2 linked regions of the Mus musculus genome follow. The protein of the gene in region 2 purifies or fractionates together with the protein of the main gene of each other region. This does not show direct contact. Links are inferred from orthologs where the notes say so. Each region holds a gene or a part of one and is shown on either strand. Other genes may lie near its edges. The genes, in order: Dpf2 and Smarca2.

Region 1 (8,333 bases), about 21 Mb from region 2:
CACCAACAAAAAACCCTATTGTCGTAAGTTTGAAATGAAACAACCTTTCAACAAGGAGTCAAGAGACAAACTGTCCAGCAGAAGACTCTGTAAAAATGTTTATTTTTACTAATGTTTTGAATACAGGAACTAAATATGCGAGGGGGGGCCCTCAACTTTGCAGAAAACAGTTAGGGCCTGCCCACAGCCAAGGGGGAAGCCCACTCTCTAGAGTACTGCAGAGGACTGTCCCCTCCTACTTAATGTCAGTGCCACTAAGCAGGAAACAGAAAACTCAGGGTGTGAAGACCTTACCAGCTACTAGCTAGCGTGCAAGGAAAGGGGACCATCCTGTGTCCTGGGAGCCAGGATACACAGGCAGGAGGCAGAGGCTCCTAATTTAGTTAAGGACAGGAGGCTGAATGCCCAGGTTCAGGAAGAACAAAAAGGGAATTTTGGAGGTAGGCTTTTTTATCGAGTTAAAAAACAGGCACATTATCCAACTTCTCCCTGTGGCCCCCAAGCTGCTGGCCCAGCCCCTGACACTATCCCTCTCCCTACAAAAGCAAAGGGACTAAGGATGGGGGCAGAAGATGGGAAGTTCTGAGGATAGGAAATGTCTGGGTAGCCAGAGCGCACCTGTGAGCAAGCCACCAAGCACAGGGAGGACAGGTTTGAAGCTGCTCGTCCCTTTGTGGGACAGGGCAGAGCCAGGAGGTGCCCGAGAACATTCTAGCTCAAGCACAGAACCCCATGTAGCATGACAGAGGACAGGGGACTGCTTTGGCAGGAGGCAAAGGGAAGCAGAACTAGGGTATGAAAAGGTCCTGGCAAGTGCCACTCAGCCAGCTCACTCCAGCTGCTTCCAGGAAAGGCCCAGCCTGGCTCATCTCTGGGGCAAAACCCTGGAAACCAAAGGGGGTTTGGGGGAAGAGGGGTGGGCAAGGCTTGAGACAAGTGAGCTGCTCTCATATTCCTTCTCAGAGGACCCCATTTGAGCCCTGTAATCACCAGGGTCTTAGGCCCAAGGCAGGCAGAGTGAATGCACTTCTTGGAGAGCAGAGAGAAGTTGGACCCACAGGTCAGCCCTGGAGCAGCACGCTGCTCCTTACTCCCTGAGGGCTCGGGGCTAGAGGCAGTCAGAGCTGCCACCTCCCTGTGCTGTTGCCAACGGAGGTTGGCAGGACTACAGAGTGAAAGAGGAGAGAGGGGCAATGGAAACCAAGGTAGAGAGGAGAGCAACGGCCTTAGATGCAGGGGAGCTGGGTGGCACATCAGGAGGAGTTCTGGTTCTGGTAGATGGATGCTTTCTCCTTCAGCAGATCCAGACACAGGTGGCAACTCCAACTTCCTACAGAGAAGCAGAGGGGTCAGGGTAGATCCCACAGAATCCTCCTCAGACCTCACTCCAGGTAGGACAGGGGGAGTTCTGCAGCAGCAACTTCATTGTTCTCCTGAGCTGAGGGAACTGCTTAGTCTTCAAAACCATGAAAATTCGAACCAGAGATGGCTCAGCAGTCAAAGAAGATGTGGTTCGGTTCCCAGCACCCACTTGGTGGTTCACAGCCACCCACAACTCCATCTACAGGGACCTGATGATCCCTCCTCTGACCCCCAAAGGCATCAGCTACTCATGCAGTAGACTGACATACATGTAGACAAAATACTCTTAACATACACTAAAAATACACATGAAAACCATTCTCTATGAGCACACTGAGTGCAAGGACAGTCCCCAAACAATGCCAGACCCTCTTGTCACTTCAGTGGCCCATGGGCTCACAGGACAATCTGAGCAGACACAAGTGTTTTGGGTTTTTTTTTTTTTTTTTTTTTTTTTAAGATTTTTTATTTATTATTATATATAAGTACACTGTAGCTATCTTCAGACACACCAGAAGAGGGAGTCAGGTCTTGTTACGGATGGTTGTGAGCCACCATGTGGTTGCTGGGATTTGAACTCTGGACCTTCGGAAGAGCAGTCGGGTGCTCTTACCTGCTGAGCCATCTCACCAGCCCCTTTTTTTTTTTTTTTTTTTTTGATAACTTATTAAATTTATTTATTTGGGGGCATTTGCCACAGCATGCAGGTGAAAGACAACTTGTGGAGTCTAAACTCAGATTGTCCAGGCTTGGTTGCAAGTGCTTTACCTGCTGAGCCATCTTGCCAGCCTAGTCAAAGATTGTTAAAATGCTCCCAATTTTGGACAAAAAAAGTCATTGCCTCAAAGGTTGAAAAAAGGTCATGAAAAGAGACTTCAGAGAAACTACTATATTTTATCTCCAAGACAGTTTTTCTGCTTAGTCTTGGCTGTCCTGAAACTCACTCTGTAGACCATGCTGGCCTTGAACTCAGAGACTCGCCTTTCACTGCAAGTGAACTGGGGTGCCAACATCTCTGGGTGTTTCAGCAGAAAACAGAGAAAGAAGTGAACTTGTGTATCCCCCAAGCACCCCTTATCACCCAAGCCTAATTTCATAGAGAAACAGGAAATAACCAGGCACAGTGGTGCACACCTATGACTGCAGCTCTTAGGGAACAGAGGTAGATCTCTTTTGAGTAATTACCCTGCCTAAAAAACTAAACAAACAACAACAACAAAAATAAATAAAAAATAAAAATAAAGAAAAAGAAAACTGATAAACAGAAAATAATTGTTCTGTGCAAGAAAAATAGCTTGCTAAAACATTATTGGTATTTATTTCAGTTTGATCCGTTTTCTTGAGAAGTAAAACTACTTATTTTGAGGATAGGGGGTTGCGAACAAGGTTTCTTTATGTAGCCCTGGCTATCCTGGAACTAGCTCTATATTCCAGGCTGGCCTTGAACTCCGAAATCCACCTGCCTATACCTCCTGAGTGCTGTGATTAAAGGCACACTACCACCACCTGGCTAAATCTTAATATAGAATATACAAGCATAATTTTATGTATGTGGTTTGGAGAATACTCCAGAGGAAATAGCTTATCTCTCCAAAGACATATGATTGCATCAAGTCTAACCCAACTGTTCTAGAGACGGAGACAGGAGGATTTCAAGTTCAAGGGCTGGCTACCTGGGCTACCAAGCTAGCTCAGGCTACCTTATGCAACTTAGTGAGACCCTGTCTCAAAACAAAAAGTACAAGTGTGGGATGGAGAGACGGCTCGAAGCCTGATGACCTGATCCTCTCCAGAGCCCACAGTGAATGGAGACTTGACTTCTACACAAGTGCTATGGATCAACTGTACAGCACTCTGAATAAAAAAATGGCAAGAGGGCTGGTGAGATGGCTCAGCGGTTAGAGCACCCGACTGCTGTTCCAAAGGTCCTGAGTTCAAATCCCAGCAACCACATGGTGGCTCACAACCATCCATAATGAGATCTGATGCCCTCTTCTGTGGTGTCTGAAGACAGCTACAGTGAACTTACATATAATAAATCAATCAATCAATAAATAAATAAAAATGGCAAGAGTTAGGGATATAGGGAGATAGCTCAGCAGTGGGACATTTGGCCAGCATGTACAGGATTCTGGGTTCTATCTCTAGTACTACAAAAAGCAAAAGAAAGAAAATAAGCCCTTTGTAGTACTAAGATAGAAAAGATCTGTGCACAGGTACATGCCTGGTATCTGCAGAGGCCAGAGAAGGAGACTGTGCAACTGGAATTACAGACCATGGTGAATGGCCAACAGGTGACAGAAACTGAACCAAGGCTCTCTGGAGGATCATTCAGTGCTCTTAACTGCTGAGCCACTTCTCCAGACTCATTAAATGTTTGCTTTAATCTACCACATGTCATTCTATTATGAAATCTATGCTGTTAGACATAGAATGCTGAAACCCATACAATTACAGGTCTATGATAAGTCACAAATTTCAGTATCGATATTTTACTTGAGTGCTGTGGATCTTTCTGGGATAAAGTATTTTGAGTAGATCCAGGCCACTTACCTTCAGGAGGCTCAGACATGGAAGGAGTGAGACAGTACATGTGGTAGCCACGGTCACAGTCATCACAGAAAAGTAGCTGGTCCTGCAGAAGTAAGGAGAACGAACAAAGGTGCAATGGTTTATGTGCCTAAGTTACGACACTGCTGCTGCTTCCAAGAGGGACTAGTAGCAGCAAAGGTCGATTGTCAGTCTGTCCATCACAGTCTATCTGGACTCTAACAGATCACAAAGCCTACTATTTCCCTACAATCTTTTCTCCACAGAGCTGCCAGTTACCTTTTGAAAAGATGAGACAGAGCATATAACCCCCTTAATAAAGAGCCTCAGATAACATCCTCAAGGTCTAAGCATAGGGCAGAGCTTAGGTGCTTAATGTGCACCAGGTCCAGGACTCCTCACTGAGCTCAAATGGTCCCAAGATCCTACAAAGTCCCGCCGAGCCCTGCCTCTGTTCACCTTCCCACCACAGGAAAGATCTAGTGGATAACAATGGCCTCATTACAGCCAGCTGGCCCACCTTAAGGCCTCTGCACTAGCCATACTTTCTGGGACTGGCTCCTTGTATTATCCAAACTCCAACAGCAACCTCACTTCCTCCAGAAGCAAATACAGCTACAAACCTCTATCAGCATCCAGTTAACTCTTTGGCACATGACTAGTTTCATTTTCTTCAAGGTGTATCATACAAAACTCTGTTTCCCCAAGTACACAAATTCTATCAAAGCACTAACTTCTCTGTCTTATTTATTGACCCGAGAGCTAAGAACACTGTCTGACTGTTGGTGCCCAAGAAACAGATATTTTAAAACAAGTATAAAGTTCCCAGGAGGGAGTTAGGGAGGAGCAGGTGCCTTCTGACGGAGCCAGGCAGGCTCAGCGACACTCACATCGTTCTCCGACGTGCCGCAGAGGTTGCAGCACTTGCATTCGATGCACTGCCAGCGGTAGGTCTTCACGGCCGCCATCATCACAGGGGTGAACTGCAGGCAGGACGGATGCCCTGTGGAGGAGGGGAGTCAAGTAAGTGGTTGGAAACCAGGGTGGGGAGTGGGTAAGGGAGGTTGCCTGATTATAACAGCACTCAAGGAAGCAGCCCAGGAGGTTCCTGGGCACGGAGTACAGTCTGCTCTTTGAGGATGGAGGTACCTGAGCGGCCACAGTCGGAACAGGACACTAGCTCCTCGGGCTGCCCTGTCTTCTTGTTGATTTTTGAGTCTCCTAGGCAGAAGTCACAGTAGTTGTTAGGCAGGGCCAATCCATCAGGTCCTTTCTTGGCTATAGGGAAAAAGAAAAAAATTCTGATGATTCTCAAGGGAACCCTGGGATATCCTCCACTCTCTCTATGAACTCTATGAAGGCTTTTATAAACAGGCTGCTTCCTCTCCTGCGTGCCTGCCCTGACAGCTCAGCTTACATTTCTGCTCCTCAGACCTCTGGGACACAGGAGTGGGGGGTCGGGAGTCTTCTTTGTCCTCTCCTTCCTCTTCAGCCAGGTGGGAGTGGGCATAGTGGTAACTGAGGCCAGGTCGGTTCTTGTAACGTTTTCCACAAACTGGGCGGGAGAAAGATTGCAGAGAACTATTAGGACACAAAGGTGCTACTTCTCCACTCTGACAAGCTCTGAAGCTCCAAATGAGGCCCATGGGACATCTCTGCCCCCAGTATCTCTACTCTGGGACAAGCTTTAGTGATGGCCCCTTCCCCTCAGCCAAGAGCATCAGTCTCTGGACCTCTTTAGTTTCTTGGATTCTCTTCCCTCTCTAAAACACAATAGCTACCGACATTTTTCTATGCTGGCTTTTAGAAGGACTTAACCCATGCTGCATCAACTTGCCCCAGAAGTAGTAACCGTCTGGGAGCTCCAGGTCTGTAAAGTTCTACAGTCTGGCCTATGGCAAAAGGGGAAACGTAACAAAGAGATGTCAGCCTCTTTTTCTGCCATGTAAATGTGGCAGGTTCATGCCACCCTGTGTGTACCAATCCCAACTAAACAGATGAAAGGCTGAGGGTGGGTTTCTTGGTGAACACTTACTAACTGCCAGCCAGGATAACTTCCCCAAAGAAACTGAAATACATCCCCACACTAGTGCCCTGCCCAGCCCCTGCCAACCAGCAAGGAAAGATTACATGGCATTTTATCTTGAGCAATGACACCAAGAGGGGTAAGGGGGCCAGCAGGAAGGAATGGGAGGATGGGAGGAGGTGGCGGCATGACGGTGGAAGCATGAGCTGACCACCTGCTGTCTGGTTGGGGAACATCAGATGACATCTATCCATAAGGGGTTCTGTTAATACTAGGCCAAGTGACCATAGGAGTAAGTCTGTGGGAGATAAGCAATGGTAAAGACAGCTGCTAGGACTGAGAACGGAGCACACCTGGGGTTCCACAGCACTACCCTCATACCGTTGCAGAGATTCCAAAGCCAGTATCACAGGAAATGAGAAAGGCAGGAGGAACAGGGGAAGAGGGAAAAGGGACAGGAAAACACAAGTCTGAAAAGTTGAGAGAGCTACCTCTCTGGGGCGCTTTCGAGGTATGCTTTTGTTTGAAACTATCTGAAAGACAGAAAGAAAAGTCATGAGAAGAAGGCCTTGATACATTTGAGACAGGGCGGCAGCAGCAGGAAAACAGAGCGAGTGAGAGAGGACCCCAGCAGTGGCACTTCAGGCTGGAGGCACAGAAGTAGGGTAAGCCAAAGCAAAGGGACAGAGGACAGACACTAACCCTCAGGGCTGGCTCCCTGTGCCCTGCCTTGATGGGGCAGCAGATCTGGATGCTGCCCACTGTGAGGCCAACCCTGTCTGCTTTGAGTTCCCTCATCCTCCCATCCCAGGACCCATAGAAACCTCGCCCCAGAGCATGCAGGTCCCACCCACTGTTAAGCAAAGGCCAGGTTGGCAGGCAGGACAAAAACCCAGGCTTGTTTTACCATTCAGTGCAAGACCATGGCCCGCCCTCCTCTCACATCCAGAGCAGGAGCTGGGTCCAAGCGAGAACTACCCATCCCTCAGGTGGCACTCACTGTCACAGGCATAGGGCTTATCCCGGTCCTCCAGGATGGAAGCATCCAGCTTCTTCCGGGCACTGCTCACACCCTTACTCTGCCAAGAAAACCAAAACGATGACGATGCCCTCACCAACGTGCCTTGGCTAGAAGAGCAAGGCAGAAAGCAAAACTAAAGGCTGGTCTCTGAAGACCGGCCGGCCTCCTTCTTAGGAGCACGTTAGCTTCTCACCTTGGACTTCCCCTTCCCCCGACGCTTTGGCGTATCTTCTTCATAGTCCTCATCATCAAGGTCATCAAGGAAGTCATCGGGTTCAATGATCCGCTGAGTGGAGCACAACATGTGAATGAGCGGAACTCAAACACATCCCAAAGCGCCCTCATGATAGAGAATTAGCCACTTGGAACCACCCAGAAGCTCCTGTGGGGCTTAGCCTTACCCAGAACCGTTCCTCACCCTGCACCCCAGTCCTGCTTCCGTGAATGCTTGCTTTCCACTGTGCCTCTTCAAGTTGCTCCCTTAATCTAGAATGCCTGTCCCCCATCTCTCAGAGCCCAAACAGTTTCCATAAAGCTCTCTGGTACCCCAGGCAGCCACATCCTGTCCTGCCTGCTCTGCTTCCAACTTTCATGTCCTACTTTCAATGAGTTTTGCTGCTTACTTGACCTTGAGGAAGTTTTTAACTGTTTTGCTTCTGCCTCCTTGTCCATGAAATGGGAACCACAGGACCTACCTCACAAGGCTATACAAGAGGAAGCATACGGAAAAATACTTAGCACAGTATCTGGCTTATCTGTAGCTATTCTCATCTTTAAACTTAGCATAACTTCCCAGTTGACAGGTGTGAACCAACTGTGCTTCACCTACGTAACTCCAGGTATCTAAGTCTCTAACAAAACCTTGTGAGAGAGAGCGTGGGTGAGCCTGTACTGGGAAGAGGAGTGTAGAAGGCTAGGCAGTCAGGGCTGGTGGCCAGCAGAGCACAGGACTGCAGGGCAACTTCAGCTTCCATTCCAGCTGTTTTTGGTTTTTGTGCTAGGGCTTACATACACATCAACAAGCATGTGTCCTACCATGTTCTGCTTCAATTCTAACTGGACAAACCTCCCAACCCACAAAGAAGAGGCTGGTCCTATTAAAGTCCTCTAGCCATGGCAATAACAGACCTTCCGTGCTCGACTGTTGCTAACAGGAAACTCGCCCAGGCTGTCATCGTCAACTCGGGGATCTGGGGCACCCCGTTTCTCCAGGGGATCAGTACGCAACAGAGCCTCTAAACTGCTGCCATCCTGAGAGATAAGCCCCTCTTTCTTCAGAGTCTGGTCAGTGTCTGCAACAAGCCAAGACGAAGCTAACTGAGAAGGGCTGAAGCTGAACCTACACCATGTGGGGCCAAGTCAAACCCAGCCACT
Region 2 (7,567 bases):
CTTTTAGCTTCATTTCAGTGCCTTTGGTCTTCCTTTGAGTATCTTGGTGCCCATATTTGGATTCACCGTTTTGCCTCTGGGCTTTCATAAGAGTAAATGGTAGCCTGGTGAGTTGGCTCAGTGTTTAAAGCATTTCTCACACAAGGATGAGGACCAGTTCAGACTCCCAGTATCTGGGATGGGTTTGGGGTCCAGCCTATAATTCTAGAAGAGATCCTACCTTGACAGCTAATATAGTGATTAAGGAACATTCCTGCCATCTACATACATGACCACACACATATGAACACATACTATACACATGGGGAAAGGAAGCCAGTGACTAAGGAGGTGCACACAGCAGTTGTGGGTTTGCCAGACTCAGCATTTGGATTTTAACAGCTGACACTTTGGCCATTTAGATCTACGAAGACTCCATTGTCCTACAGTCAGTGTTTAAGAGTGCTCGGCAGAAAATTGCCAAAGAAGAAGAGAGTGAGGAAGAAAGCAATGAAGAAGAGGAAGAAGATGATGAAGAGGAGTCGGAGTCAGAGGGTAAGTCCCGTGCACCTGGCCCTTCCCACTCGAGGGGCTGTTTCCACAGACACTAAAGACTATATACTTGCCCCGCTTGCTTGTGTCCAGTTTTCTCTGCTGTTAAAATGAAGCACACCAGCCATGGAGCTCAGGACTGCCCATGTGGCCTTTGGATGTTAGGATAACACTCGTGTACACAGCACCTGTCACTCCGGGCAAAGCATTGTAGCATGGCTTGAGGAACATAGACTGTGAGGCTCCATCCCAGTGTTTCTGGGTCAGAGAGGTCCTGCCCTCTACGTGTTCCCACAGGGCACTGCTGGACCCAGGCCTTACTTAGACAGGCATCGATTTTCAAACTGATCTTAGTGCGCCTATTAATTTTGGTCTGCATAGAGACCTGATTTCACAAACATCATCTGGTTTATTGCTAATTAGTGTAGGTGAATTGGAAGGTGAAAGGTATAGTCCCATAATCTATACGATGTGAAGATGTGTGTTCCAGTTCTCTGATATTTTGTAGCATACATTTCTACACTTAACAGATCCAAAAACATTAACGAATGCTTCAAACTGTCTTAATTTCACTGTTCCAATCAGGCCGTTTCCTTACATTTCCCCAAAGAGATTGGAAGCCTCAGCTCACGTATTCTTTCTGCAGTGATCAAATCCCCCACCCCCACTGAAATAGATCCAGCCGGTCCTGAGATCTACAAACATTGCGGGGATTGGCTTATGTGGTAGACCCACCTTTTCGTGACTTATCCTCAAGTACGTGGAGTCATAGCCGTGGGCTGCCTATTCCAGAAGTTCCTGAGGTGGCATAGCACGTCACACTCTTCTGAGCAGGAGCAGAAATGGCTGCAGTCTTCCTGACAATGCAATTGACAGTGTTAGAATGTCCTGTGTGGCTGCTACCACTGTACCCCCACCAAAGTTTGCCAACATGGCTTCACAGTGGCTCTCTCTGTTGTAGCGCCCATCACTGGGGAACTGGTTAAATTGATTATAGAGTAGATGGTGTGTGGGAACTTTTTAGGGGTTGAAAGGAAGCTACGTGTGTGAGCTGATACATATGGCTATCTCCCTTGTGTAGGCAAGCCATGCACAGTGGGCATGCCTGAAGATTTATCTAACTAAATAAAGCTTCAGATATCTGTGCATGTATGTGTGTCTATATATATTTGAATTCTTTGTTGGCTAGAGTATAGACTATTTACAGGTATAAACTATGCTTTTTTTTTTCTGGAAATAATCAGTAGAGAGTCATGAAATGGGGTCAGGGAGGCATGTTGTCATTTTTGCTTGTCATTTTGTCTGTATACATTAAAAATGCTACTCAAATGACTTAAGTTTTTATTTTTTTATTTTATTTGTTTATTTACATCCTAAATGCCGTCCCCCTATCTGTCTCTCCCTCACTGAGTCCCTCCCCATCCTACTACTTGAATGTTTAAATTAAATAGTGCACACAGTGAAATCATCCTTTTTTTTTAAACAACCCTTTATAAGATTTAGTAATAATTAATGTAAATTTTTTTTATTTGATAACTGCTCTGCTCAGCCATCGGGAGCCAGGAAAAAGATCCACCCCCACCCGACACCGAGTTCCTCCTCCCCTGTGTCCCTCACCTTTCAAACAGGGACCAGCTTGCATGTAGAAGAGGTGGGCGCATGCTATCTAGACAAGCAGGGTGAAATGGCATGCCACTGAGGCTCTCCAGCACTGGGGGAAGTCGGACTTGCTATCCACAGGTGGGATAATAATAATTTGACTGAGTTCTCACTGGGGTCTCTCTTGTGACTGCTCTAGCGAAATCTGTGAAGGTGAAAATCAAGCTGAATAAAAAGGAAGAGAAAGGCCGGGACACAGGGAAGGGCAAGAAGCGGCCAAACCGAGGCAAAGCCAAACCCGTCGTGAGCGATTTTGACAGTGACGAGGAACAGGAAGAGAACGTGAGTGTACAGGCCGGGGCAGAGGCGGCTGCGTGCTCCAGGTCCCAGGCCCTCTTGGGGTACACAGTCCTCACTTAGGCCGAGCAGGAGGAGGAGGCCTGGGAAAGGGAGTCATGTTGAGTGAAATTTAGAACAAAGAATCTAAAGCTGCTCGTGTTGCTGTAGAAATGAAAAGCTCTCCATTGCAATTCCCCTTTTCAATCTTCCAGTACACGTACGTGCAAATGCAGTTTTCTTCATGGCTGGTTAATATTTTATATCTCTCATACCCAGCTTGCTGTGAGTATATAGCAGTTCAGATAAAATAATGGTTAGAGGGGGGAAAGGAAAGGCATTGTGGCGGCGGAGGTTTTAGCTGCGATGCCTGAGATTAAATACCCAGAGGCTTTATTCTTATCAGGAAAATTTTAGGAAGTATTTTATCAAACCAGCACCTTCCAATCTGAGGAATAGTTAACGTTTATATTAGCATCGTCTCATAGATATCACTTTGGGTCCAGGGTACTCTGAGGGTTCCGAGGGAGTGAATGGTAGGGTCTGAATCCAGACGCCAGGAGCTTCCTCAGTCTAACACTGTTGACTCTGCCGGTCTTGGGGAACAACAGACAGAAACTTGGCCAGTCCCACAGCAGCTCAGCTTCCCCAACATGACAACCCCTACACAGCTCTCATTCTGGAAAGACAGTTTTCCATCTTGGTACATAAGTGAATTTGATTTTCCTTTAACACTTTGCTACTCCGGCAGGATCGGGAAGTTCTAGAACCTGGCTTACTAGATTTCGGTTACATTTGAAACACCATGTTTCCTTGAGATGACTTACCAATGAGCAGACATCCAAAGCATGATCTTATTCTTGTCATGGGACAGGTTTCCCAAGCTCAGACAAAGGTAGAACTGGTTAGCGAAAGTTAGACTTCTCTTCTGAAGAGACGTCGCCAGTGGCAAACAGCAGATGCAGCTGGCAGGCATCGCCTTGGGTTTGCTAATGCAGCACTCGCCATGGGGGCATAGAGGGTACCCATTCCTCTAGAGTCTGTCTTTCCACAGAAAGGGCTGTAGTGCGCTCAGTCTGTCTACCTCTTTCTTTTAGGAACAGTCAGAAGCAAGTGGAACTGATAACGAGTGACCATCCTGGACGTGAGCTTCCCGCGGTGGCAGAACCGAATGCTTTCTTCCCCCTCTCCTTCCTCCCCAGTGAGTTCACTTGCCATTCGGGCACACTGGGTTATTTCTCCGTCCTCATTGTCATCTAGAACTAGCTTTAGGGTAGTGCCAGACAAACATATGATATCATGGTGTAAAAAAAGAAACACATGCGTGCAGACACACTACACACACACACACACACACACACACACACACACACACATATTTGTAACATATTGTGACCAAATGGGCCTCAAAGATTCAAAGATTAAAAACAAAAAGCTTTTGATGGAAAAGATGTGGGTGGATAGTATATTTCTACAGGTGGGTCAGGTTTGGTAGCAGTTTGATGTGCTGGGTTCTGTCATCTGTTCTGATGAGAAGATTTTTATCTTCTGCAGTGCTGATGGCCGGGAGGAACCATTCAAAGCCACTGGTTATTTTGTTTTTCATCAGGCGATTTTCAAGATTTTCATTTGTTTCAGTATTGTTGGTTTTCTCTTTTCTCTTTTTTACACTGTGGTACATATAAGCAACTTGACTAGTGACAAATGTACAGTAGTTAGATATCACCTACATATACATTTTTCCATTTTATGCTCTATGATCTGAAGAACAAAAAAAAAAGCTTTTTGACTTGTATAAGATTTATGTCTACTGTAAACATTGCGGAATTTTTTTTTGTTCTTGTTTTATTGACAATGCTATTGAGTATTACAGTGTCTAGAATACCCTGGATGGCTTCTCTTGTCCACCCGATCTCCCGTGTTACCAATGTGTATGGTCTCCTTCTCCCGAAAGTGTACTTAATCTTTGCTTTCTTTGCACAATGTCTTTGGTTGCAAGTCATAAGCCTGAGGCAAATAAAATTCCAGTAATTTCCAAGAATGTGGTGTTGGTACTTTCCTAATAAACCGATAACGTACCTTGACTCTGTCGCCTTTTCTTTTATGAGCGCTAGGGCACTAAACCTCTGGGTGTGAGCAAGAGCTATCTGCAGATAGAGAAGAGCCTTGTCATACAGATCATATGGGGGAGGGGCGAGATCATTGCTTTTCTGGCTAAAAGAGAGGCTGCTGCCAGTCAACCTTTGCCTCCTGGCTTTAAATTTCATTCATTAGTCAGAAAAATCTATAAAGGTAGGTAATGTGGAGACTGGCTCAGTCACTACCCATATGCCCTTCCCACTAAGATTTAACAAAATTTTTTGCAGTGTGCCTTGTTTTAATAAGCCATGAGGATATAAGTCACAAGAGCAGGCACCCACAGTCCCACTGTCAAGCAGAAGGGATTAACACCCTTCCTCTAATAGTTAGTAGACCAGTCGCTAGCATATCTGCCAGTTGCCCTAAATTTGTGTTTGGGTTTTCAATCATATGTCTTGATGTCTTTTTAAAGTCCTTAAAAAGCCAGCCCCGAGACTGGTGCATCCTTCCCAAGGAACTGCCAGCAAAGTCAAATGGAAGTTTTCCACGCCACTAAGGAGGGTTAACATTTTCCTAAGGAGCAGGTAAGATTGCGCTAGGTGAGCTTTCCAGTGCCATATCAGACCACAGTCCTACGAAGCTTCATCTTCCCGTCATGTCTGCTCTGACTTCCCAGCTACTCGGAGCATTCCGGAATATTATATTTCTTTTTTGGGGGTTTGCTTATGGGATTTACTTACTGCGGTAGGAATGGAGACTTCAGAGAGAAGCCATATTAACTTTCCACTCTGAGACCACTTAATATCAGTTCAAAGAAAACAGCGCCTCCCCCCTTTGCTTTCATTTCTGTATTTTCTGTGCTGTTCTTGGCTTTGGAGGCCCTGCAGTTGGAAGGTGAGCCAAACCATTGTTTTTCTGGTCCAAGCCTTCTCTGCCTGGTGTGTGTGCTCCCTCTTCCTCCTGCTGCATTTGCTGAACTGTTCTCCCTGCCCGGTACAGGACGTATCCCATTGTCCACCGTCTCTATGCCGTATATGCTACCCACCCGCTAGTCATCCCATCAACTCATAGTACTGCTGTGCTTCTTCAGTTAACAAGATCAACAGTACCCTAAGTCCACATCGTTCGCCACTTGAGCTTTTTTTTGTACGCACTGCATCATCTCATGATCCCTGAAAGGGTCAGTATAATATGGTATTGATATGTGAGAGTTGGGGAGAGGGAGAGAGAGGGGGGGAGGGAAACAACAAATGCTTGAGATAATGAACTCACAAAGGCTTTGTCAGCTCACACTTTTGGAGCTTTCAGGCCACAATCAGTTCACTCTATTCTGGCGAAGGCTCCACAGGACAATGAAATGCCTGAGACCAAGAGAGAGGGACCAGGGCCCCACAGTTCCCTACAGAATTATGCCACCAGTGATCACAAGATCTCATGCCAGGGCCCACTTGCTCAAGCTATGGCTACCCCCCACCCCTCCAAAGCACCTCCTGGAGAAATGTAAGCCTTTAAGACATAAGCCTTTGGGGGACATTCAAGATCCAAACTACGTCAAAATAATGTCCAAACTGTACTGTTTCCTACTAGTTAAGCCTTTCTCTGCCTGCTTTATAAATTGGACTTCATATATATTTCATGGATATTTTATAGCAAGATCAGTACTGTTGGTGGTTCCAGAGGGGATCTTAGGATGTGTCCCTGTGGGAAAGGAGGGCTACCAAATAGCTTTGTCAAGCAAGCTCTCCAGGTATACATTGTGTAGAAGATATCGCTAAGCACTTCACCCATGCAAACAGTGGTGTTACCCTTCCACCATCAGGTCCTGGGGGCATTGCCACACCTTGCTCTCTTAGCTAAGTCCCCCAGAGAGTTGGTTTCAGTGTCCCTAGCTTGGCACACACCTGGACTGTCTTAGCCTGAGCTCAGAGCATGGGCTTCGTGGCCTCAAATGAGGTCATTTTCATAGGTCTGCCTTTTAGGGTGAAATATGCTGGTGTCATCAAAGTGTGCCAGATATGGCCACATTTCCTTCAACAGCACAATGCTTTGGGGGAAATGCTGTCACATGATGTGTTGCTCTATGAATAATAGATTATTCTTATGAAAACAGATGGCAACAACCTTTGTCAGCTTCTTCTATGGGGCCACTGTTGTATCTGGAAGATCATTGGGCGATGTGTGCACTGTAGCAGGCATGCCTGGGAAGGCTATTAAGGCCTCTGTTTTAAAGGTACTTCTTCTTTAAGATTTTTTGGTTTTGTTTGTTTGTTTGTTTGTTTTAGTTCAGAAACTGAGGTCATAACCCTGACTTAGACTCAAATGTGTGGGTTGTTCCTGGCTTTGCCCCAGCCATACATGAGTTTCAATATCCTCTGCAAAATATGGAGTGAGTTGTCTATAAGTCCAGGGTTATAGTTCATATACAGCTTTGTTATTAAAGGTTTCCACTATTTAGGGAAAAATAACTTATAAATGGCATTAAGGAATACCAGAAAGATTCATAGAACTAAGAGGTGGTTTATAAAGCAGTGGCTCTCTGCCTTCTTAATGCTGGCCCTTTAAAACAGTTCCTCATATTGAACTGACCTCCCCCTCCCAATCATACAATTATTTCATTGCTACTTCACAACTGTAATTTTTTCTGTTGTGAATTGTAATGTAAATATCGGATATGCAGGATATCTGATATGTGACCCTTAAAGGGGTCGCATCCCACCAGTTGAGAATCACTGTCAGAAAAGCTCATCGGGCCACCCCTCAAAGGGGTCGAGTTCCACAGGTTGAGAACCACTCTCAAAAGCTCATCAAGCATTGATGGTTTCAAAATCAATGTTTCAGTGTTGTTCCCTGGACCCACAAAATCAGCATCACTTGGGCACACGGGACGCAGGTTCATCTGAGACCCACTCAAGTAGAGTCATGGTGAGCCCTAGGAGTGGGAAATATCTTCCCTGGCATGTGAAAACTGCAAATCTAAATCTATCATATTACAGGCAAAAGTCTGTTACTCCATTTCTGGGAA

What was found.
Region 1: the proteins of Smarca2 (region 2) and Dpf2 purify together in Homo sapiens (affinity purification with mass spectrometry; 6 studies listed by BioGRID and IntAct, counting the BioPlex papers as one, with this or other methods). This does not show direct contact. The link is inferred for Mus musculus from reciprocal best matches to the Homo sapiens genes SMARCA2 and DPF2.

Annotation. Positions count from the first base shown.
Region 1 is NC_000085.6:5,897,302-5,905,634, forward strand, and holds part of Dpf2 (zinc finger protein ubi-d4), read right to left. Parts: intron 8,252-8,333; coding exon 8,088-8,251; intron 7,246-8,087; coding exon 7,153-7,245; intron 7,018-7,152; coding exon 6,939-7,017; intron 6,472-6,938; coding exon of another isoform or gene 6,430-6,471; intron 5,468-6,429; coding exon 5,330-5,467; intron 5,191-5,329; coding exon 5,062-5,190; intron 4,916-5,061; coding exon 4,803-4,915; intron 3,998-4,802; coding exon 3,916-3,997; intron 1,331-3,915; coding exon 1,254-1,330; 3' UTR 1-1,253. UniProt on the Homo sapiens protein: Plays an active role in transcriptional regulation by binding modified histones H3 and H4. Is a negative regulator of myeloid differentiation of hematopoietic progenitor cells. Might also have a role in the development and maturation of lymphoid cells.
Region 2 is NC_000085.6:26,773,772-26,781,338, forward strand, and holds the end of Smarca2 (probable global transcription activator SNF2L2), read left to right. Parts: intron 1-401; coding exon 402-534; intron 535-1,266; exon of another isoform or gene 1,267-1,384; intron 1,385-2,148; exon of another isoform or gene 2,149-2,329; coding exon 2,330-2,472; intron 2,473-3,563; coding exon 3,564-3,599; 3' UTR 3,600-4,550; downstream 4,551-7,567. UniProt on the Homo sapiens protein: ATPase involved in transcriptional activation and repression of select genes by chromatin remodeling (alteration of DNA-nucleosome topology).